Linked DNA regions of Arabidopsis thaliana. The protein of the gene in region 2 interacts with the protein of the main gene of each other region in a pairwise test. Each region holds a gene or a part of one and is shown on either strand. Other genes may lie near its edges.

Region 1 (7,303 bases), on a different chromosome or scaffold from region 2:
ATTTGTAATACAAAAAATGTTTCTAATATAATATTAAAACATAGAAAATCAAAACTATAAGGTTTTTACTTTGTTTTAAAACTTATTTTTATTTTGACAACTCGGGTGATCCGATGTAACGGACACCATGCGCTCCGAGCCAGGTTCTCGATTGGGTCAACAAGCATGAGATCCGACTAATCTTGGGGCCAGCAAAAGCAATGTGAAAAATCCTGAAATCCACACGTTTATGAAATAGTTTTTAGAATCGAATGAATTGTTTGTAGGGTACGTAAACACACAAGTATTGATAGTTTTAAAAACAACAAAAAACCACTCGAGTAAATACTAGCCTTCGGTTCCTAATTTCCCATGAACATATCTAAGGACCGAAAATATGAATTCTTGGAATTCATATTCCATTTAGCATTGTATGTTTACTTGTATTCGAATTCAAAACAAACGAATAGTTTCTTTTTTCTCCTTCTGCGGATTGGAAAATCGAATGTTAGTATCCACTATTTAATATGAAAAACTATTCTTCTTATGCATGTTTGCGTACTTTGCTTTTTGTTTCTATGCGACGACGTCCTTTATGAAGTTGTGACGCTATACAATGTACATTTTTGGAAATTAATAGAAAGCCACCGTAATTATGCGAACCTTTCTTTAAATATAGTGATGTGATGTCCATTTGCCTACATCCAACGCACAATAATGCTGTCACTTCAATATTTTGGAAGAACCCTAAAATTATTAGTATCTATTACCCGCATGTTTAATTTTAATCAACTGTTGGTTAATAGTGACTTAATATCAAATATGCGTCGAAGGCTAGCTAGTATTTTCTCAAGAGTTTTGTTCTTTATTATGTCGGATTTTGGGACATATATAAATAGATTTAAGGGTTGTCATTTATCACTCACAAGGTAAATAGAAAGTAAACCATAGAAGTAAGAAAGTATCAGCCTCAAACAAATTAATTGTTTCTTCTTGTTTACGAGTTTTCTAGTTTTGTCCGTATAGTAACACAAAAATAGTATTATGCTTAAATGATGACTACAAAAATACGTGACACTCGTCACAAGTTTTGTTTTCTATAATTAGTTATAGGTATATGCTTAAATTTTTACTTCGTATCATAGTCATAGACCTATACATAAACAGTTGGTTATTTATGGAGTCAAGACTCAATAGTAACCTAAATACTATAAATTATATAATCTAATATAATCTTGAGTTGACGCAACTAGTGTCACGTAGCTACAAAACTAAGCATCAAAGTTTCAAATTAAAGTAGAGATGCATTGCATCAATCTAATATGAAGTTAGAGAGATGCTCTGATTCTGCCAGACTAAAAAGTTATGAGTGACAATTCCTGAAAAGCAAAACGAATTAGTTCTCATAACTCATGAAAATGTTGCCTAAATTAATTCGAAACATAACATTAAGCCGGAAGGAATTGTCTCATCCAAGGTGTCTATCACCACAACTGCACATACGAATCCGATTCTTACAAGCCATTATGGATGGTTTCCCAATCTCTTAACCAAAATCTGCACCACGAAAAGAAGCATCTTTAGGTATCGGTTTTTTCCGACAGCAGGCATAAACCGAAGTTGTATCGTCAACAGTTTTTTGTCAAACCCACCAATGCTTTTTAGTTTTTACATGTAGTCATGATGAAGCAATCGTGCACTAAGTAATGCACTACGTGTGGAATCGAATTATGATCCGTTACATAATGTGAATTCCAGAAAGTAAAAGGGTTAGTGATAATAATGGAAGACAATTCTATTTCATTTGTACTTCAGTACTTGTTGTGCTCCCATGGTGCAACGAAGAATTGGATGGAATTTTGATTATTAAAGACTTAAAGTATTTATGGAGAATCAGTTTTCTACAGCTTTAGAAGTTTCAAGTCAAGTGCATGAGTAGATAGTAAGATGGTCTTTTTGTGTTCTTGCCGCTTAAATATTTTATAAATGAGGCAACTTCATGGGAGAGTGATCCCTTGAGCGCCTCTGCCAATAAACACTATTAAGTTGAAAAAACATGATATTTAGTACCTCAATATTAGTGAAGAAGATTTTAAATTCGACGGTGAAACGTGAAAAACATATGAGAAGCATGGACTATCGAAATGGGTAAGTTAAATTGTTATTATCACTGGCCATAACAAGAGAAAGAAAAGCAAAAGATACTAATTTCTTCATTTTATCCTATTAATTTTTTTTTTTGCAAAAATGGATATAAGAATTTCTAATTTTTAGCCAATAGATCATATGAATTAAAACATGATACTGTTCAAAACCCAAAAATGGGCGGACCTAGACGCTGAACAAGAAAAGCCTATCCATTCGCCAAGGCCCAACTAGTCAATATGTATGGAAATCAATGCCTACTGAGAACTGCAAGTAATCTTAATATAAGCTACATGTAACAAGAGCAAGAGCTAGAAGACTTACCACCAACTTGAATGCCATGAATTGTAAAAATTAATTTTGTGTTACGGTAAGTTGTGGACTGTATTGTTTATTCAAAGGCTTCTTACAATCGAACATAAAGAAGAAGACATTTTTGGGGAAGAAAATGAAGAAAGGGATAGAAGATTGGCTGATTAAATAAACCACTATCTTTCTTACATCATTCATCAAAATCTGACTATCATTTACAAAGTAGGATCAACTCTCACTAGAGAACTAAAAGTACGATGGCATGAAACGTAATTACATACAAAACTCATGTCCAAAGCCCAAACCTATACATAAGCACTACCGGATTTGTTTTTATTGTAGAACAAATGTTGTTCACTTATAAGACCAAACCTGATTTCGAAATACTTAGAACACTCAAAAAAAAAAAAAAAGAACATTAAAGTCCTAGCAAAGAACTGTTTCTCTCTACACACCTAAATCTCTCAGCCGGAGATAAAACTCTCCAGCGGCTCTTAGCAGCTTGATCGACTGCCGTGGATTCAGAACCTCCACCACTTTCCCAACCGTCACACACCGGAGTTGATCAGCGTTCTTCATCGCTTTAATCATCTCTACCTTCAAAACCTCCATTGCATCCTCCATTTCTGGCTGCTCTCCTTCGCCAAGCCTCAACACTCCGATGCGCCTAAATGGAACCATCAGAAGTGGATCCCCCACGCTCTGTTGTAGAAGCGCGAACCTTCGCATCAAATCTCTCTCCCTCCGTTTAGTCTCTAACCGAATGCTCTCGAGTTGGTCTATTTGGTGGCTCGTAAGGTCATTAACAGAAGTGGTTATGAGCTTAAAAACCATACCTGGTTTAAAACCTCCGATCCAGAGGATGAGTTTCTCGTATGAGCTGAGCCATGGTGGAGAGAAGAAATCATATATATCGTCACCGGCCACGGACATGGCAACTGATTTCTCTTCGTAGTATTGGAGATAGTGAGAAAGAAAGTTACTCACAAGAGATTCTTCTTCTATTGGAGTTACAATGGTTGTTTCATCAGCAAGGTGTGCAAGTTGTTGGACGAATTGCCTGTGACGGCAGAGCCAGTCATTGAAGAAGCTCGCAAAAGTTTCAGAGCTGCTAGTGATTGGCATGACTCATATATAGTTCCAAGTGAGTCAATGAATATAGACGAGACATGCATGTGTGTCTGTTTAAGTATTTATATAAGACAAAGACATCATCGTTAAAAATTATAGGTCGATTTTGGTGAAGTTAAGTAGTAATTAGAATGTTTAATTTTAATAGTAAATGGGAGCAGTAAGCGGTTTCAGAATGGTACAAAATAGTACAAAATGTACGATCTCTCATACAGATAATTTACGTAATTTGAAACATTTTAGGGCATGTCATTTCTAGGTAAATTTTTGTTTCTTATAGAGACATCCAAATTATCAATTGAATATCTAAATTACTTCAACAAATAAATAAAAAAGGACTGGGATGTATTATCTTGACCATCTACTTATCATCTAAAACCATCTCCATCAGTAGTCTCTCACATAGTTTCTCATTAACTAAAAAATATAAAATAATAATAAAATAGAAGAGAGATAGGAGAGAGATTGAGAATAGTTTCTTTGCAGAGAAATTTTAGAGTAATGATTGAGAGATTATGTGTATATGTGTGTATTTATAATTGCACAGAAACTAAATCATAATAAAATATTATTATATTTTTTTTTTGAGAAACTTTTAAAGTATGTGACCAATGGAGATGACCAATGGAGATGACCTAATGTCTTAATAATTGTTCTAGCCATCTATTAAATTACGAAACTATATATTTTTGAAGGTGTGATCAGTGAAAATAAGAGTTAAGTGGCTATATACACATCACATAAGAAATATTTAGCAACCATTTTCGGTTATTTTTATATTGATTTCAGAAAAGTTAACATTATTGGAGCTAAGTGTTTATAGACACTGTAGAATGCCATGATAATTTAAATTTATCCAAAAGTGAAACGTTTTCAATTTAATAGATGGTTATTTTTATATTTTACTTAATAGACTATTAATGATTTTAACATAATTATGATGATTATCAGTATTGGCTAATATATTATGTTTTTGAATCATAGTATTGATGTATAATAATGTGTATGGAGATCTAAAATAAAAGGTATATGTAATGTAATCACATTGTTCATATTCATGGATATAAAAAACATTTTTTCTATGCATAGTAATAAACTTCCATACACAACGTAAAATTCACTGTCACAAAACAAAAAGGGTTACAATCATATTCAGAGCTGCAGATTTAACCCGCAAAAAAATATCGAAGTGCTGGAGGAGGTCCTAAACCGGACGTAGCATCCATTGACAAGCTACATTGATCTATCATTTCAAGTTACAATTTTTTTTATATTTTTTTGATAATGTACAAAAGTTTTATGTTACGTTGATAAAAGAATATTAAGGCTGACGATCTTAAGAAATTGTAGACATGTGTGAAGAGAATCTATAACGTATATTCTTTTCTTCTTCTGGAATCCAGACTTTTGTCTTTACATTTAAACTTCACACTTGTGTTGTGTGGTAATGTTCAAGTAGAAAACAACAAATAACAATAGATATAATAAACCAATCGTAGTGGTTAAGAAACAAAGACATTGAATGAAGCGAATGTCGCTACACTGAACTTGGAACCATTGTAGGTAAGATTAAAAAAGGAACAAAAAAAAAAAAACTTATAAAGTTTTGTTAATCAGTAGTATCAAAAAAATAAAAGATGTGTTATTAAATTATTTTATTTTGTACAAATAACACACTCAATGTTTATTCAAATAGGTATGTTTTTATTACAAAAAAAAAAGAACTCTTTATAAACTAAATAACTCAAATAAGCTGCTGGCAAAGATAAACGGACTTAATTAAACTCACAGAGTCACATGTAAAAGTAACACTTTTTGGTATGATTATAAAAATAATATGCAAATCCATAGGTAAAAAGCCTATTTCAACATGTATAATTTTCGTCGTACGTGCTTGTACAAATTCATAGGAGAACCGAACCAAAGTGTATATATAAAAGATTAGGCCTTTCATAGAAGAAAAAAGATCAAGAGCTAGCTTTTGTTTTAATCTTAGAAAGAAGGAATTTACTTTGTTCGAGAAGCAGGCGTTCGTGTGCATGGATTCTGAATGATCTATGGATTCTGAATGATCTCAATACTTTGCGTAGAATAAGAAATTGGTTGGTGAGAAGCTAAGTATTTGTTTTAGTTGTCTGTAAGCCCAATAAGTGTGTGCAACAACTTTAAAAGATTTTCTATTGAAGTATTTTTTATATAAGGTGAGCCGAGGCTTGGTATATCTCGTCTCGTGTTACATACATCTTTACTTTTTTCATTTTCTCACCTCTAACTTCACCGAGCTTGTCAACGATCTCATATCCTTGGTGTGGAACAAACTAGTCCCCATCATACAATTTGAGAATTTTGTGACGACAATCATATTTCCTAGTGATAATCCCCTAGCTAAAAACTCATGTATAAAGTGTTTCATAAACAAAAGTTGTTTCTCATTAATGGATTTCTAGACTACGACTGAAGTGTGCAAAAATCATTTTCCATCACTGTATAAGGTCGCTTTTCGTGATGGGATTATTTATATATGAATTGGTAGTACTTATGGGGCTAAGGTAGGCCAAGCATATTCACTAAAACTTTTGGACTTCAAATACGAGTTTCCTACGTTTTATGTTATCTATCATCTTTTTATTCTTTATTGAGTTCGTGTTCCTACTTCAAACACTTTTTTTTTTCACTCAAGGAAGAAAAGAGTGAAGAAAGATTCTTAAATAAGAAACTCTAAGATATTTACGAGAATCCCATAAAACACATGTCTCTCCTATTTTGATTCAATATAATTTTTTAAATTAAAGTTTATAAAACTAAAATATATCAAAATAATAATGACTTTTTGTTTAAAAAAGCTTTAGAAGTTATGATGGATAGAATTCTCATATGGTTATTATCAGTGAAGTAAAAGAGTGGTTTAATCAACTAACTGTTCCTATTAGTGAGTTCCACGTTTTTCTCTCGTTTCCGTAGTTTTACCTCTGTCTGATAGTTGGTAAGCTACGTTTGGGAGATTTTAAAGCCTTGTTACTGATCCTAAAAATCACCACATAATTTTTCCATGTTTTATCCTCAGTTACATGGTTACAACAATCACTTTCTGGAAGGTCACCAATTTTGAGATTTTTCAGCTTAAGCACACTTAACTATGAAGTTATCCCAAAAAGTTTCACCGAAAAGATAAATGCACGTTGGTGATATAAATAGTCAAATCAATTCTATTAAACGTTTTCGCATGCACCACCATATTCCTAAAATCGGAGTGTTACAATTCATCCCCACAAACAGAACGTAACGTTCTCGTGGCACACCAAGATCGTAACCCCGGATGGAGCGAGCTTTCTTGATTTCACACTCATGTGAATTCGGATCTGATACTACTTATGACGTTCTGACTGTCCCTACTAGTGGGCTCCACGTCTTCTTTCGGGCATGTGGGTTCACCTCTGTCCCACGGTCGGTACGCTACGTCCGGGAAATTTTAAAGACTTGTTACCTTCCCTACAAATCACCACATGATATTTTTTAATGTTTTGTCCTCATTTACTTGGTTCCAACAATCACTATTCGGAAGGTCTTCCATAATGAGACTTTATCAGCTCAAGCACGCTTAACTGTGAAGTTCTCTCAAGAATTTGACAAAAAAGATAAGTATACTTTAATGATATAGATGGTCAAATCAATTCATTTAAATCTATGCGCATACACTATTGTATTTCTTAAATTGAAGTATTACACCGTATAACAA
Region 2 (8,615 bases):
ATGTCTTAGTTTCCATTTATAGATTTTTAACAAGATACTACATCACTTTTCCACTTGCCAGGGAATATATCAAGTGGCTAAATGGAATGGGACTAAGGTTTCTGTAAAGATACTTGATAAGGATCTCTACAAGGATTCTGACACTATGTAAGATTACTCTTCTCTTCAGTGAGTAATATGTCTATGTTAGCTAACAGGTCAAGAAGGAGTTTGAATTTCTTCTTGAGTGAAGCTATAGATCGTTGAAATCATCTTTGTTATGTTCATAGTGATGATGATATGAGCTGTAACATTATTCAATCATAGTTCTTATAGAATCTTCTATGTTGGAATTGTGCATTTCCAGTAATATTTTCTGGAATCCACTTCATTCCCTCTGTGTTAATCCTTGTTTTTCTTTTCATATATTACGTTTGTTCTGCAATCTTCTCATCTGACTTTTATTATGTACCCACAGAAATGCCTTCAAACACGAACTTACTTTATTCGAGAAGGTACGTCATCCTAATGTTGTGCAATTTGTTGGAGCTGTTACTCAAAATGTCCCCATGATGATTGTGTCCGAGTATCATCCTAAAGTAAGCTTCTCCCTCTTTTTACACCTTAAAAGATTTTTCCCTCATTAAGCAATATTTGGATGGTAGGAACTAATGTTGTCCACTTGGTGGTAACTTGCAGGGGGACCTTGGGAGCTATCTTCAAAAAAAAGGTCGTCTTTCTCCAGCCAAAGTTCTAAGATTTGCCCTCGATATAGCCAGGCATGTGACTTTTTTGGCAAGATTGTATTCAACTTACAACTACATTTTTTTTAATAATCTTTTGAACGAATCATTTGGCTCTTCTCAGGGGAATGAATTATCTTCACGAGTGTAAACCAGAACCAGTAATCCACTGTGATCTAAAACCCAAGTAAGATAACTAAATAAAGAAGCATTTGCACGTTAAGTTTTTCGAGAACATATATTTGGACCCTCGTTATCTAATTTTTGCAACTTCTTGTAAGGTGCCAGAAATATTATGCTCGATAGTGGAGGACATCTGAAGGTGGCGGGATTTGGTTTGATAAGTTTTGCAAAGTTATCATCTGATAAATCAAAAATCCTTAATCACGGGGCCCATATAGATCCTTCAAGTAAGTCCTAAATGCTTATTTCCTCCTGAGAAACTTTGATACAAGTATTAAGTATAGAAACTGTTTCTACTATTGATATACTCATAAGTTATAAGAATGGTCCATTTCCATGAGGCAATAGTTTAAACAGATGATTTTTTTTGTTGTTTGCAGATTACTGTATGGCACCTGAGGTTTACAAAGATGAAATATTTGACAGGAGTGTGGATTCTTACTCTTTTGGTGTCGTATTATATGAGGTAGTACCTTATGGATTCATACGTTTTGGTGTCATCTTATATCCGGTACCTATTAGTTACGTTAATGGTCAAACATTGTGCTCCTCGGCATTTCTTGATGGCTGTATCTAGTCTGGTTTTATTCCACTCACTGTTCTATATGCTCTCTAAAAGTACTTCATTCTGTTTCTCAACCATTCTAGCTGATTATGTTTTTCCTAGCATTGACTGATTGAGGCCAATAAGCTTCTCTAGCAAATCTCATGCATCAATTCTCTGATGAGTTTATCTTAAAAATTTCAGATGATTGAAGGAGTACAACCTTTCCATCCTAAACCCCCAGAAGAGGCAGTGAAGCTAATGTGTTTAGAAGGAAGAAGACCTTCGTTTAAAGCCAAGTCCAAAAGTTGTCCCCAAGAGATGAGAGAGTAAGTGTACTAAGCTTTATCAACTTTAAAACAGAACTTGTTTTACACTTTAAGTTACAGTAACATCATTTGCTTGGTCCTTGATCCTTTACCCAACCTCTTTGAGCTTATTTGGTTCAATTGTTATTTAAACAGATTGATTGAGGAATGCTGGGATACGGAAACTTTTGTTAGACCAACATTTTCTGAGATCATAGTTCGATTGGACAAGATCTTTGTACACTGCTCAAAACAGGGATGGTGGAAAGATACATTCAAGTTCCCTTGGTAAAAAAACTTTCTCTTAACAACTCTTTATCATTTATGTTTTTGCATTTCTACTTCCACCTTAGTTAAGCCGACTTCTTCTAAGATCGTGATTTTTCTTATCCATAACGGACTAGAGCCAAGCTCTTTATATATATCATGATTTTTTCTCTCACCCAAATGTATGATTTCTCAGGAAATAGTACATAAGAACGTGAGAGGTTTACTCAGGAACACGAGAAACTCCACAATTCAAGAGCTCTCTTCTCATGTTTACAATAAACTCGATACAAAGAATACAAAAAGAAACGGCCCTCTCCGATTTGTCATTGTCTTATCGTGTAACAGTGTACAATGTAAACCCCAAAAAGTACTTTCATCGAGCTATATAGACTTCTCTACTGCACAGAACTGAGCATTTTGAGATACAATGTATCATATTTATATAAGTATCAAGAAAGCTCTTTATTCTTGTTATGCTTCAAATTCAAACATCTCCGTTTTTTAATACAGAGTTCATATATGGATTTGTTCGCAGGGGACAACCAATGGAACCAACAGGATAATTCAAATTTAGATGACAAAGAAGCCGTTATTAGGTAATCAACTAACAAACTGATGACATCTCAGTTTCAAATTGTTAAGTCAAAAGAGCAACAAACTCATCAATCTTCTTGTCGGAACTACCTCCTTCAGAGATAGCTTCGCGAGCCAACACCTTAAGCTTCTCAACATTCTTCCTTATCTCTTTCCCTCTCTCTCCTTCCATGACCTCAACAATGCATCTCGCAATCTCTTCTTTACTCGAAAGCCCTTCTCCATCGGTCCTCACTCTAACCCCAATCTTCCACACATCCTCTATAAACTTAGCATTTGTGGGCTGATCAGTCCACTGAGGCACGCCCACCATTGGAACCCCTAAGCATAGTGCCTCCAATGTCGAGTTCCATCCACAGTGTGACACGAAACACCCGATTGATTCATGTGCTAAAACCTCTAGCTGAGGAACCCACTTAGCCACAAGTCCAGAGTCTTTCTCCTCTGCCTCTTCGATAAAACCAGAGGGTAGTTTGCTTCTCTCGGATTCTCTAACAGACCACAAGAAGTGATATCCGGTTTGGCTAATCGCCATTGCAATTTCCTTCATCTGTTTTTCGCTCAAAGCCACCAATGTCCCAAACGCCACGTAAACCACCGACTTCGCCGGCCTGTTTCCCAACCACTTCAAAACAGACTCGTCTGGCTCTGTCTTGGAGTTCTCGAGTTCGTAATCTTTGTCTTCTGGCAACCGGTTATCCAAGAACTTCGATGGAACCACCGGTCCAATGTTCTTCACCGGCCATTGATCATTCATCCATTTCACTACCTGTGAAAGAAAAAACACGTTCCACAAAAACTTTCCACCTTCGAAAACTCAAAATAATGACCAAAACCAATCTAAATAATAACGTTACCTTTGGTTCAAGTTGATCAAAAGTGTTGCAGAGAATGCAATCAGCTTGCAATAAATTAGAGAATTGCCTAACCACAAACTCGTGTAGAAGAGGGTACGACCCTTTTTCGCAGGCGAACGAAGGCAGATCATCTTGGCTTAACAATGGGAAACCAGGAAACGATGCAAGTGTTGGGTTCTCGTGTCTATCAACGGGAACATCGTAGGTGCCTTCGTTGATATGGTAGTAAACAAGACTAGCCAACCATGGTTGAGTGAAATATGCCACTACGTATAGATCCAAGTCCTTGGCTATGTCCAATGCAAAGGGCATAAATGGATCATAGATCAGAGCTTTTGGAGGATTGTCCGACAACTTCGCACTGCATATACAAGGGGTTATATAACAGTAGAGATTGATAACGTTTTTGCATATAAATTATACTTATCCTAAAAACGCTACGAAACTTGCTTTGATAGTTTTAACACTAATTAAGCTTATTTCTTACATGGGCATTAATGCATTATATAAACTATTTTAAATTCATAAAAAAAAAAAGGCTTATGAATGTTGTAAATGGTAAAATCTAGCTGGATTACTGTGTATAAACATGAAAAGTGGTTGATAATCACTCAAAATATACATTAAAAGAGACAGAACACAAAACGTTTCGTAATTGACAAAAATAGAAATTCTATGTCACTCGGAAGTCCAGGATATAGATTTTTGACTAAAATTGTTCTCTCATCAAATTCCAAAGTAAAATTACCTCTAAAATAACTAAGGAGATATGTCATATTGGAAATTCATGTATTGTACCTAGAGATGAAATCGGTCAGGCTTCGAGAAGTAGAGTTGTGGAAACGGTCAAGATCTACGAACTTGGCGTGAGGGTGTTCATGTGGAAAGAAACCGTCGTGGATGGTGTGGACGGTGATGGAGTAGTCGTCGGAGGTGTAAGGTTCACGGTGGTCTTTGGAGGCGATGATGAGTGTGCTGGTGATGCCCTTTTTGGATAAGCGTTTAGCGAGTTGGATCATTGGGTTAATGTGGCCTTGTAATGGATATGGAAAAAACAGTACGTGACCCTTCTTTGCTTCACTCATTTTTTTGGTAAAATTGTTCGAACCAAAGGAACAATAAGTTGTTGATATTGTGTCTCCTATGTAAGTTAAGTGAATATAGTGTTATATACATGTCTCATTATTTACGATGTTGGATAAAAGTTATTATAATTTTTAGAATACTTGTCAATTCTTCTTTTTCGTCTTCTTCTTCTCTTCTTCTGTTAATTTGGTTTTAAATTTGAAGGAATGATTCATTATAAATTGATGCTTCCTTTTTGTGAATAAGTTTGTATGCAATGCGTGAGAGTATTTCAGGATTGATTTCTATGAAATGTGTAGAGAGCAATCTATGACGATTAAGACATTGTGATGGTAAAAAAAAAAAGATTCTTACTATGCCATATAATAAACGTGGCGGGTAGATGAAGCCATGAAGGGAGGAGATTAGGTGGGTGGGTCCGATAAAAATTTTGATTTCATTATGTTATCTTTCTTTTTTTGTGGATCATACTTTTTCATGTTATTTTAGAATTTGTTGGACTTCAGAAAGAGTTGTATAGATGAGCTCAACGAAAATAGAATTATAGATGCTTGAGTTCTCACAATTCATGTAATTTATTTTTAATCTTTGTCATGTTAGGAGAGGTTTCATCCGATGTTTGAATGGATATTACATTAGCTCTTAATCTAGAGAAGTTTTCAGACAATAAATACAAATTATGGTCACCAAAATTGCACTATGAAATATAAAGCAACCAAGCAGCAAAGTCGCAAATCCTTAATTGTAAATAAATAAAACTTTGAGGTCTAAGGTTAAAAAAAAAGGCATAAAAAAATCTACAGTCCTTCGCAGCAAACACATAAACCATAGAAAATATTGAAGTTACTAAAACTCTAAATTAAAGTTTTTATTTTCCTTGTCTTGGACCTTTTGGTAAAAGATTCAGGTTCTTCTATTGACTGGCTCTCATTATATGCCACGTCAACAAGACCGTTCTCCAAAGCTTTCACCAGATTTTCGAAGTAGGTTTTAGTTGCTTTAGTCAAATCAATTAATTTCGCTCGGAGCTCACCGAAATTTTTTGATGGGTCTTCAATTTTCCCGATAAACTGTTTCAACTCCTCCTCTGCACAATGATGAAGTCTCTCCAAACCATTTTCTGCCTCAGCTGAACAACAAGACAACGAAAAAGTTCTGCTACAATTAATGGAAAAATTAAGATTACACACAAATTAAGTGTTTCCGTACCAAAAACTGACCTTGCAAATACTCGCTTGTTGCGCTCTTGACTAAGTATGTAGTATCCATATGCATAGGTCCATTTCAAGACCCTCCTACACTCGATGATCTGTAACAGTAAAATCAAGTACATGTCAACAAGAATTAATATAATGTCGTAACTAACTTAGAGTCTAATTGGTAGTTCTCATGCATAATGGTGGAATGAGAATATAATTAATGCCGTAACTAACTTAGAGTCTAATTGGTAGTTCTCATGCATAATGGTGGAATGGTTTCACCATTTCGGAAAGTTAACCGTCATTAAGATGATTTTTCAATTTAATAAAGCTTTTCTAGTTTTTTCTACTACAGATTATGTTCCGCTGTTACAATGTAAGTAACAAAATCTAACTTAGAATCTCATTGGTGGCTAGCATAATGGTGGGATGATTTTTGCCAGTTTGAAAATTATACACACTTTTTTTGTAATCTATCTATTCATCAGTTCAGATCAATGATAAGTTACTCATAAAATCGTCTTCAAGAAAGCTTGTCGTTTATTATATATCTACTATGGTAGTAATTCCATTATGTTCCGTCGTTTCCACAAACATTTTCAATGGTCTTGTAAATGTTACTTTTACTAACCTGAAGCCATGCATCTACGGTGAAACTGAGCTGAGTTTCTGGTGTGCTCTGAATGTCACTAAGCTGCTTAAGCTCCACCGATTGCCATTTCTCCAAATCACTCATAGCTTTAAGCCTCGAGGATTGATTGAATGCCCATCTTTCATAAAAATGCGTGTATCTATCGATCGCATCTTTAGCCCTTTTTCTCTTAGTTTCATCCTCATTGTCTGCTTTAAACGCGTTGCAAGCCTTGTGATCGCTCAATGGTTGAAGGCATGCCCAACAAAAATAATGTCTACATGGAGCTGAGCATGACATATGGTTACATCCAGTGTTCTTCTCAATAGGACGCTTGCATTTAGGACAAGGCTTTGTCTTAGCAAGTATCCAATTCATGTTCTCCGACTCATCCTTGTTCTTTAGTAACCACTTTGACACTGTTTCACAATCCACAGGAGAGTGAGCGTCTTCACAGCAATTCCAGCAAAACTTATACGAACACAAACAAGAAACATCGTAACTACTACTTCCATTTACACCAAATTCAACCGCGTATTCGCATCCCGGTGATGGACACCATTTCATCTTCTTCCCGTCTTCGACATAAGACCTAAGAAAATATCTATAATACTTGTCCTTATCTTTCTTCTCAGTAACCTCATCGATCATGTCTTGACCAACAACAGCGTAACAAGAAGGTTCGGGACATTTAACCCTTAAACATCCCGGACCGTCTTCGATTTTCGTAGTGATGTAACCAGTCCAGCAGGTCTTGCAATAAGGATGACCACAAGAAACCCTAGCAATTTCCTTTCGAGTGTATGATTCAAAGCAAATTCCACATTGAATATCCACTTCTGTACCATTAACATCAACGACAGGCTCCTTTAATATACCAACGGTTTTACGGATTCTCTCTTCGTCCGTAAACCATTCATCTTCGAGTTTACTAACACACCAATGATAGTGAAGAAGCAGAACAATCGATTCCACTTGGCTTACAGAGAGAACCGTCGAAACTTGTTCGATATCGTCTCTTTGAAGCTTAAGAATGTCTTCTTCCTTAACAACAACGTAACTTTTCTCAGATCGACTAATTGTGTCGTCCACAGGGTTGTAGTCATCGGATACGTTACCACCATCGCTGTACAAATCCTCCTCTCCTGATTCGATATCGATGATGTCGTTACCACCATCGCTATACAAATCTTCTTCTCCTGATTCGATATCGATGATGTCACGATCTGAAGAACTCATGACCGTCTGAAAAAAAAAAAACCTTAAACGACTTTGAGATTTAAAGGAGGCAAATGAAGCCAAGTCTCATTGGTAAACTAGGGCTTTGCTCTAACAAGATCTCGATCGTTATTTTATTTATACTTGTAGAAGCTCTCTTCTAATCATCGCTCAGATATTAGGGTTATCATTAGGATATCCTTGGTGCTAAAACAACATAAGAGAGGATAACTCAAAATTATAGCCAATAAGCATTTTCCACGTGTTTCCATCTCGGAACACCGGAACGTTCTTCAGCTAGTGTTAAGTATAACAATTACGAAAATTAAAGTTTCTCTGGGCCCCACATGTTTTATTTGTATCATATCTATTTCACATTTTCGGGTGTAAAAAAATTCATCAAATTTTGTTTCTCAGTTTTCTCTTGGATTTTAGGCCAAATATATAATATTGGTTCTAAAGTTTGTTGAGGGAATTTTTTTTTTCGGTTGAAGATTTATATATCCAAAAATAACTTTTCAAAAAAAACAAATCCAAATATATATATATATATATAGAACTAACATCAAATGTTGTTAATATTAGTTTTTAAATTAAAAATAGTCATTAAACTAGCTGAAGAACATTAAACTATCCTTAATATTACATCAAATGCTATTAGTTTTAAAATAAAAAATAAAATAGTACATTAAGGATAAAGAAATAATCATTATAAGTCATATTTACTACTATCTTTATAACAAACAAAATCTACATTTAATGTATTTTCTCATTATTTTCTTTATTTGAAATATTTATATTTATTTTTTTATATAGAAGTAAATCTTCCCAACTTACCAAAAAAAAAGTAAATCTTCAAAAATTTCTTTCTAATTTTTTCAAAAATATTTCCCATATTTTAAATAAATAATTAACAGTTTCTAAGAGCATGTGCAATGTGGAGTTCTAACAATGGTTATGGATAATAAAAAAAAAAAAAAAATAGAAAGTAAGAGAGAGAGAG
Region 3 (7,766 bases), on a different chromosome or scaffold from region 2:
GCTATAATAGTCTTTACCTAGATTGCAGCCGTCACATTTTAGCCCACGCGTTTTTACTAGTGAGTAAATTTCCTTTTAGTATTTCCATAGATGAAATAAATCTATGCTTTTACTTCTAGTTTTGTATATAATTTTCTTATGTTTTGGTTTATGTAACGATGATAGCTTTCAGTTTATATATATAGAGTGACTATATTGAGTTTCCCCTTTCGACAAAAAATATCTATATTGAGTTATACTTTGTTTAGATGAAAAAAGACCTCCATAGAATTATGCTTGTCTTAATATTGAGGATAATATAGACTTAAACGAATACATCTTATTTATTCTTTGTTTAACTAAGAGGAAGTGGAAGCCCCCTGCCCCATTAAAAATTTTATTCTTTGGTTCAGATACGTTAAAAAAAATTTAAAGATCTTTAAAAAGTATATTAAATTCAAAATAAATAAAAATAAAAAGTGCAAAAATAACTCCAAATGACAAAAAAAGAGAGTGTAGGATCAACCATGAAATAAGAAGAAGAAAAAACAAACTTCAACCTAAATTTTCTTAGACTAGCTAGCCAAAACGAAAACGGCATGGTGTTCTCCTGACGATTAACAAAATGTAGCCGCCATTAATTATGTTTCTACACAGCCAAATTGCGATTAAGGTTTCGTGTTTATTACAATTGAATGAACTTAGTGTGTTTAAGTTCTCTTTGTAGTTCCCAAAACACATTTTAATTCCCAAAACACATTTTAGTTCCCAGAAAGACATCGAATACAAACTTTGACCAGAAAGTATATTCAAAAAAATAAAACGACGTTCGAGATATGGAAATAACCTAGTCAGTAGTAAAGTCTCACCCCCAACCTTCCACAATATCAATTTCTTTTGCACCGTTTTTCTCTGTACGTAACTGTTCACTCTGCTGTGAAAGAAGCTCGAGCATGATGATCGTGACACTAAACCGTCCAATCTCCGGAGGTTACGACGTTTAATTAAAAGGACATTGCCACTACATAGAGTTCCGGTTTTAGAAAGCTTGCGTCTCAAGTTTTGTACTTTACCATTTCAACCAGAAGATATCAAACTATGCGTTGAATATTCTTCTCATCATAACAAATCTGCTACATTGCCAATTTGCTTGTACACCTGCAAATCGCTCGAGACCCTCACATTCTGTAATGCAATTCTCATGGTTGTTCCTCGTATGGCTTTTCTTCCATCTCTGAAAAACTTGCAACTAGGACAAATTAAAGGACGAACACTCTTGACATTCAAATCAAAGTTACAGCAACAAGTAGTCGAAAGACGGGGATGTACGAGAGAAGTCATTAACTCATAAACTTGAGTAACACACAACAAGCGAAACATTGAGAAAATAAAAATGTAGCCACACCACCATCTGGAGAAACAACTCTCAAATCGATAAAATGATAATACATAATGGGACGATAGGATACTTGTTATTTGGAACGCATCAACATCTTGAATTCAAGCGACATCTGGTTTGGTATTCTAGTCGTTGTTCTCCTTATGACAGCATGGTAGGGAAAACCGTGACGGTTTGAAAAGGTAACGTAGAAGTTTGCATTCGCTGCCTTGGCCTTCATCGTCAGCTTCGGCTCCCAGGTTTGCACAATTACATATATTAGCTCCAATGGCTTTGCCCACTCCACTAGCTTAATAGATGCCCAGTGGGAGAACAATGTGATTTCCGCGTACAGAAGAAACAATTCCTGGTGTCTTCCATCTCTGATTTTCTCAACAAGTAGAATTTCGGCTTATTAAGCATAAACAAGAGTAAGAACGTAGTAGTAAATTACCAAAGGTGGAGCCGCCCAGTCTACCGTCTGGGGATCAGAACATAAATCTTTGTAGATTTCACATTCCGGCCTTTCTCCCGGAGCCGGTTGTTGATATTTTGGTGAATCGGGTGATTCATGGTCAGCATGACAGCTGTCAGTTGGTGATTCTGAAGAGGGCAAGGATGGTTCATATTCCTCCTCCGGTGTAACAAAGTTGTCATCTGGATAGCCTTCAGATTAGAAACCTCTTACACGTCCCCGCTCATATGGGTACGGTGGATCAGGAAAAACGACGTATCCCTCAGAAGAAGAGAAAAAACAATTTGATGCAAATCATGAAAATCGCTGGTCATCCACAATAAAATCCGATTACCTTACGACTGCTGACGGTGCGACTATAACTGCCTTCTCCCAGGAACATTCTTGGAAAATCTCACCCAACCCTACATTCACCCGCCCAAGAACATTGTATCGCAGAACGATATGGTTGATTTGTGGGATGTAAAGATCGGTAAGACTCTCGAGTCTCGACAAGACTTATGTTTCTGAGGAAGAACTCCTCAAAACCATCAAAGGTGATCAGTTAAACCATAAAAACAGTTTCTGATATCCAATATTCATCAGTCCAAACTCCAAAGTATTAAACGAGTCACTTGCATTTGCAGAGACCCAGCCTCCAATGGATTTTTTTGTGGGTTTGATCCATACGGTCCTTGCGAAGAGCGACTTTACCTCCTTGACTATAGATCCTTCTTTTGGAGTTAAGACTTCTGAGCTTTATCCTGAGGTCAAGTACACAAGTACTGTCGATGAGTTTCTTAAATAATTTGTCTGAAAAAACCCTTGTCCCTTATGTTACGTGTAGCCAGTGTTTATCCGAGTTTCGATATGGAGGCAAATCTTATTTCAAAATAGGCTTCTTATTTGATTGATACAGTACATTACATAAAAAGGTCCAAGTACATTATTTGACTGATATAAGAGAGAGACCTTGAACAACATTACCACACCAACGATCTCATAACGGTGCATAGTTTCAAGGGTTAACCTTGGGAGCCCATCCAGAGATCACATACTTTTCCTCGGTCTTAGTTTTCTCAAAAGAGTCGAGCGAGAACAGAGTCTTCATGTAGTTATGGACATGGGGAAAGCTCTCAGGGACAGACCAGCTTTTGAAATGGCCAAGAGCAACTTGAAGGTGGTAAAGCTTTGGTGCTAAGCTTAGATCCACTGCGGAAACTCTTTCTCCGGCGATAAAAGGGCCATCGTGACTCTTAAGATGGTTTTCCAAAGCTTCTAGCTCAACAAGCAAGGCATGTTCAGATCCGTCATTGGAGTCTTTGCTCTTCAAGAATGTCCCAAAAGTACCAAAAATGTTGGATCCAACAGAGGCAAATTCAGCAGGAGTCTTGAGTGGTGGATCAGGATACTTCTCCTCGAGTATACCAACGATGACGTCGGAATCAGTCACCCACTTGTCGTCGATCTTAAGCACTGGTACTTTCCCTTGAGGACTAATGTCCAAGAACCTGCATCATATATAAAACCAAAGCCACCAATTTCAAGTTCCGGTTAACACAATGCTCGCACATGAAGCCAATCCAATTTCCGGTTAACACAAAGCTCGTACCAGTTACAAGTAAAATTTCAGAGATTATGGCTAAACAAGTTCAAACTAGACCGATCTTAAGGGTTTAGGCGTGAGAGAAACTGACCACTGGGGTTTGTCAGAGAGGTTAATCAGATGGATTTTGTAGGTAAGACTCTTCTCCTCGAGTGTGAGAAGAGCCCGTTGGCTGAACGGACCTAAAACGACAAACAAACACTTAAATTAGTAAATTTACCAACGATCAAAGCTCAGAAATTAAGAATTGCAAAATCAAAAGCTTAATGCAAAACAAAAACAGAGAGAGAAAGAGAAGATGGTTACAGTCGCCGAGATGATCAGGAGCACCAACAGCAGCTTTCACACAGATTTCCAGAGCCATCTTGATTCTTCTTCCTTTGTTTGCAGAGACGGATGAATGATTGAGTTAATCAGTGAGAAGGCTTAGCTTTTAAACTGAATTATTACCATTCTCCACCCACCAGTGGGCCATTTTTACCCGATGTTTATCTTTTCTCACGTGTTATGCGTTGCAAGTGACGACGATACGAAACGACATTGTTACTGATAGGGCCATTTGATTTTTGGTCGGCAGGTTTTGGACCGTTCAATTTAGTGAAAATATAGTAATAAATTCGTACCGAATAATATAATCGGTTTAATGAAACTACTACCTGAAATATCGAATTAGATTTGGTTCATATTTCGTATTGTTTTGGTTCGATTAAACCATATTAAACCACTGTAACTGTAATTTATTGTTTCGCCGTCCCGGAATGTTCCTGTTGAAATCCATTTTCGCTGATTTTTTTTCTTCCGTCTCTTCTTCAGCTTCGACCATTTTCGTCTTCTTCATTCAGTGTTGAGTCCTCGTTTACCTGTGAGCTCGAAGAAAGTGACGATCAATGGGAACCCTAGGCAGAGCATTTTACTCGGTCGGTTTTTGGATCCGTGAGACTGGTCAAGCTCTTGATCGCCTCGGTTGTCGCCTTCAAGGCAAAAATTACTTCCGAGAACAACGTAAGATTCTGCGTAACTCTATTTTTCACTCCGATTTCGAATTCGTAAAGAGTGAGGAGTTTCGATTGGGTAATTCAGCTCACCTATTCTGGTTAGGTTAGAGATCTGGAATTGATGTCTTTGTAGGTATAGCGATTCTGGATTCGAATGGCACAAGGGATTAATTGATGTGGAATGTGTTTTGCTGCTTAGTTTTTTTTTTGTTTCCTGGTCACGAAATTTGCTTATATGTAATTGTGGTTTTCTCTGTGTAGTGTCAAGGCATCGGACACTGATGAATGTATTTGATAAGGCTCCGATTGTGGACAAGGAAGCTTTTGTGGCACCAAGCGCCTCAGTTATTGGGGACGTTCACATTGGAAGAGGATCGTCCATTTGGTATGGATGCGTATTACGAGGTGAGCTAGCTACTAAGCCTCAATGTTTGGTGTTTGGTGGTTGACTATTTTAGTGACTGAAGTTTTGTTTGAAATAGTATCTACTTCTGTATCCTTAGCTGTGTCAACTCTTACGATAGAAAATAGTGAACGAATATCTGTTTTTTACTCTTCTGGTTAAGCGATGAACAAGACTACTACTCAAAATGGAGCTTTCTAGCTTTATTGAAGGATCTTAAACAGATCATTACTACATATCGTATCTTGATGATACTGGCAGTTGCTCTAATGGGTGATTGGGTATATGATATCCCCAATCATATACAGAATGCTTTCATGTCATAACACCAGAATTAGTTGAACGATATCATATACAGATTATTGAGTTTGAGTTGAATCCTTATTGCGAGTATGAGTTGGCTAGTCTGGATTTTTATTTAATGGTGATGAAATAGGGTTGTCCTTTTTACAGAATGCTTTCATGTCATAACACATTGGTACTGTATGGCTAAGCCTGTTAGTACTTTACCAGGAAACTGGGATAACATACAATCTAAACTTGCTTTCTCTCTTTTTTTCTGCGCAGGCGATGTGAACACCGTAAGTGTTGGGTCAGGAACTAATATTCAGGACAACTCACTTGTGCATGTGGCAAAATCAAACTTAAGCGGGAAGGTGCACCCAACCATAATTGGAGACAATGTAACCATTGGTTAGTGGGAATCTCTTACTCACTGTTTATTTTGAAAATGTTTAATATGCATACATCTCCAAGAAGCATTTGGGATATAGTCTTAAATTAAATGTGTAACAGGTCATAGTGCTGTTTTACATGGATGTACTGTTGAGGATGAGACCTTTATTGGGATGGGTGCGACACTTCTTGATGGGGTCGTTGTTGAAAAGCATGGGATGGTTGCTGCTGGTGCACTTGTACGACAAAACACCAGAATTCCTTCTGGAGAGGTATGATTTTGGGTTTAACATTTCTGATTACCTGAAAACCCACAAGTAACCATTGGTGCGGGTATACTTCTATTGCTACTTAGACAGCATAGGCTATATTATTGACATTATTAGTGTCTTTCTTTCATTGGCTGAAAGTATTGGAGGTTGGTGTGAAATTGAAATACAGTTTCTAGTCTTGAGAATTCTTCTCCTCTATCTGGATAGAACGTATCTTATCCACTTTTCAGATGCCCTAACAGATTATAAATGTTAGTTAGATGAAAGTGGAAATGTTCTTCTAGCTATGGTTTATCTGCATATGAATGCCAAAGGGTGTTAGTCTCTCATCATGGCCTTAAAATTTACTTCATCCGCCATATTGACTGACAGAGTTAAAATGTTCGCATTGGTCTATAATGACTCAGGTATGGGGAGGAAACCCAGCAAGGTTCCTCAGGAAGCTCACTGATGAGGAAATTGCTTTTATCTCTCAGTCAGCAACAAACTACTCAAACCTCGCACAGGCTCACGCTGCAGAGAATGCAAAGCCATTAAATGTGATTGAGTTCGAGAAGGTTCTACGCAAGAAGCATGCTCTAAAGGACGAGGAGTATGACTCAATGCTCGGAATAGTGAGAGAAACTCCACCAGAGCTTAACCTCCCTAACAACATACTGCCTGATAAAGAAACCAAGCGTCCTTCTAATGTGAACTGATTTTTCAGGGGTATGTTTTCTGGCCGAAGCCCTACAGGGTGAGATACTCAAGGGGATTATGTTTCGGTCTCTGGTTTGAATATGGCAGGTAGAGTACATTAGGGTAGACGGATTTACAGCTTTTGAAGAAGCTATGTTCAACATTTTTTCATGGTTTCTTAGGGAGTATTATTGTCTAATCAAACTTTGTATGTTATCACTTCGGTCTTTTGAACGTAAGAATCAAGTTCATGAAACATGAGTGAATATTAGTCTGATGCATGTGCGTATGCAAAAATCCATGTGCGCCTATGTTGCTAGGCAAGCATGAAGAATAAAGATCCAAACTGGATATATCATATATTTATCTTTTTATAATTACTGCAAATTATTAGTGGGGTTGATGGTATTGGTACCGTGAATTACGCTTGCTTGGTCGTCTTTTTATTTTTTTGATAAAATCAAATCTTGTATCGTGTATCTATTATTATGATTCGTCTCCTTCCTTTTGTCAAAGGCCGTTTCTTTTCTTGAGATTTATCTTTTGTTTTCTAGCTTTCTGGCTGTCGTTCTTTTAGGATTCAAGTATTCAACCATTTGTTACAATAATACTAATAATTGGATTTCTCCCTTGTCACTTTGTAGATCTCAACTAATGGGCCATTTTTTCTCTCAATTTGAACCACGAGACATGGTGTTGGAAATTTGAAACGGTAGATTGTGTAAAATGTTCACCAACTTAGACATCGCAAGCCTTATAAAACTTACGGTAAACAGATCAAAAATCCTTACAAACAATGACCAAAGAAACAGTACGATTTTGCAAGCTGACGGAATTTACAAATTGCACTAATCTATATCATAGTTTCATGTAACAACAACAATGTTTTTAGAGTTTATAATAAGAAAAATTTTAATTGATGTAACAAAAAAAAATATGTAGTGTGGGAAACTTTAAAACATATCAGTGAGTTTAGATAAAAATTTGAAAGTTTTAACTACAATTACTAAATGACCCACGTAATAGCGAGTCGTAAATCTACAAAGGATACACAACGGATCGATAATCAAAGCATATAATTCGGAGCTGATAATCTACTATGGCCGCTAGGTTGTGTACTTTAAATGGTTTCCATGATTGTATATGTACTACATACAAATTAAAAGATATGATAAGTCTAACACTAATTTAACATTTCAAAGAGCAATGAGGCTCTTTCAAATAATGAGGTTTTTGAATCATTGCTAATATCTTAACCATAGTTTACCATGATAACATTTCACGATAAAGTACTTTTGATCATAGAAAAATGTTAAATAAAGTAAA

The links.
Region 1: the proteins of AT2G31790 (region 2) and ZW2 interact in a two-hybrid assay, tested with the Arabidopsis thaliana proteins (one large-scale study listed by BioGRID).
Region 3: the proteins of AT2G31790 (region 2) and DHAR1 interact in a two-hybrid assay, tested with the Arabidopsis thaliana proteins (one large-scale study listed by BioGRID).

The regions. Positions count from the first base shown.
Region 1 is NC_003070.9:21,637,408-21,644,710, reverse strand, and holds ZW2 (transcription factor-like protein), read right to left. Parts: upstream 3,621-7,303; 5' UTR 3,562-3,620; coding exon 2,884-3,561; 3' UTR 2,670-2,883; downstream 1-2,669. UniProt on the Arabidopsis thaliana protein: May be involved in the regulation of abscisic acid (ABA) sensitivity.
Region 2 is NC_003071.7:13,514,217-13,522,831, reverse strand, and holds AT2G31790 (UDP-Glycosyltransferase superfamily protein), read right to left. Parts: upstream 4,634-8,615; 5' UTR 4,564-4,633; coding exon 4,277-4,563; intron 3,840-4,276; coding exon 3,479-3,839; intron 3,391-3,478; coding exon 2,665-3,390; 3' UTR 2,468-2,664; downstream 1-2,467. Other genes in the region: AT2G31800 (Integrin-linked protein kinase family), read left to right, coding at 62-147, 458-578, 679-758, 847-909, 1,011-1,132, 1,286-1,371, 1,654-1,778, 1,914-2,045 and 1 more; ARI11 (RING/U-box superfamily protein), read right to left, coding at 5,690-5,693, 5,785-5,873, 6,395-7,633.
Region 3 is NC_003070.9:6,770,633-6,778,398, forward strand, and holds DHAR1 (dehydroascorbate reductase), read right to left. Parts: upstream 3,892-7,766; 5' UTR 3,782-3,891; coding exon 3,724-3,781; intron 3,600-3,723; coding exon 3,509-3,599; intron 3,323-3,508; coding exon 2,830-3,322; 3' UTR 2,670-2,829; downstream 1-2,669. Other genes in the region: AT1G19565 (uncharacterized protein), read right to left, coding at 1,452-1,748, 1,812-2,014, 2,247-2,338, 2,447-2,499; GAMMA CA1 (gamma carbonic anhydrase 1), read left to right, coding at 4,305-4,419, 4,674-4,817, 5,383-5,508, 5,611-5,762, 6,170-6,460. UniProt on the Arabidopsis thaliana protein: Displays a dual function. As a soluble protein, exhibits glutathione-dependent thiol transferase and dehydroascorbate (DHA) reductase activities. Key component of the ascorbate recycling system.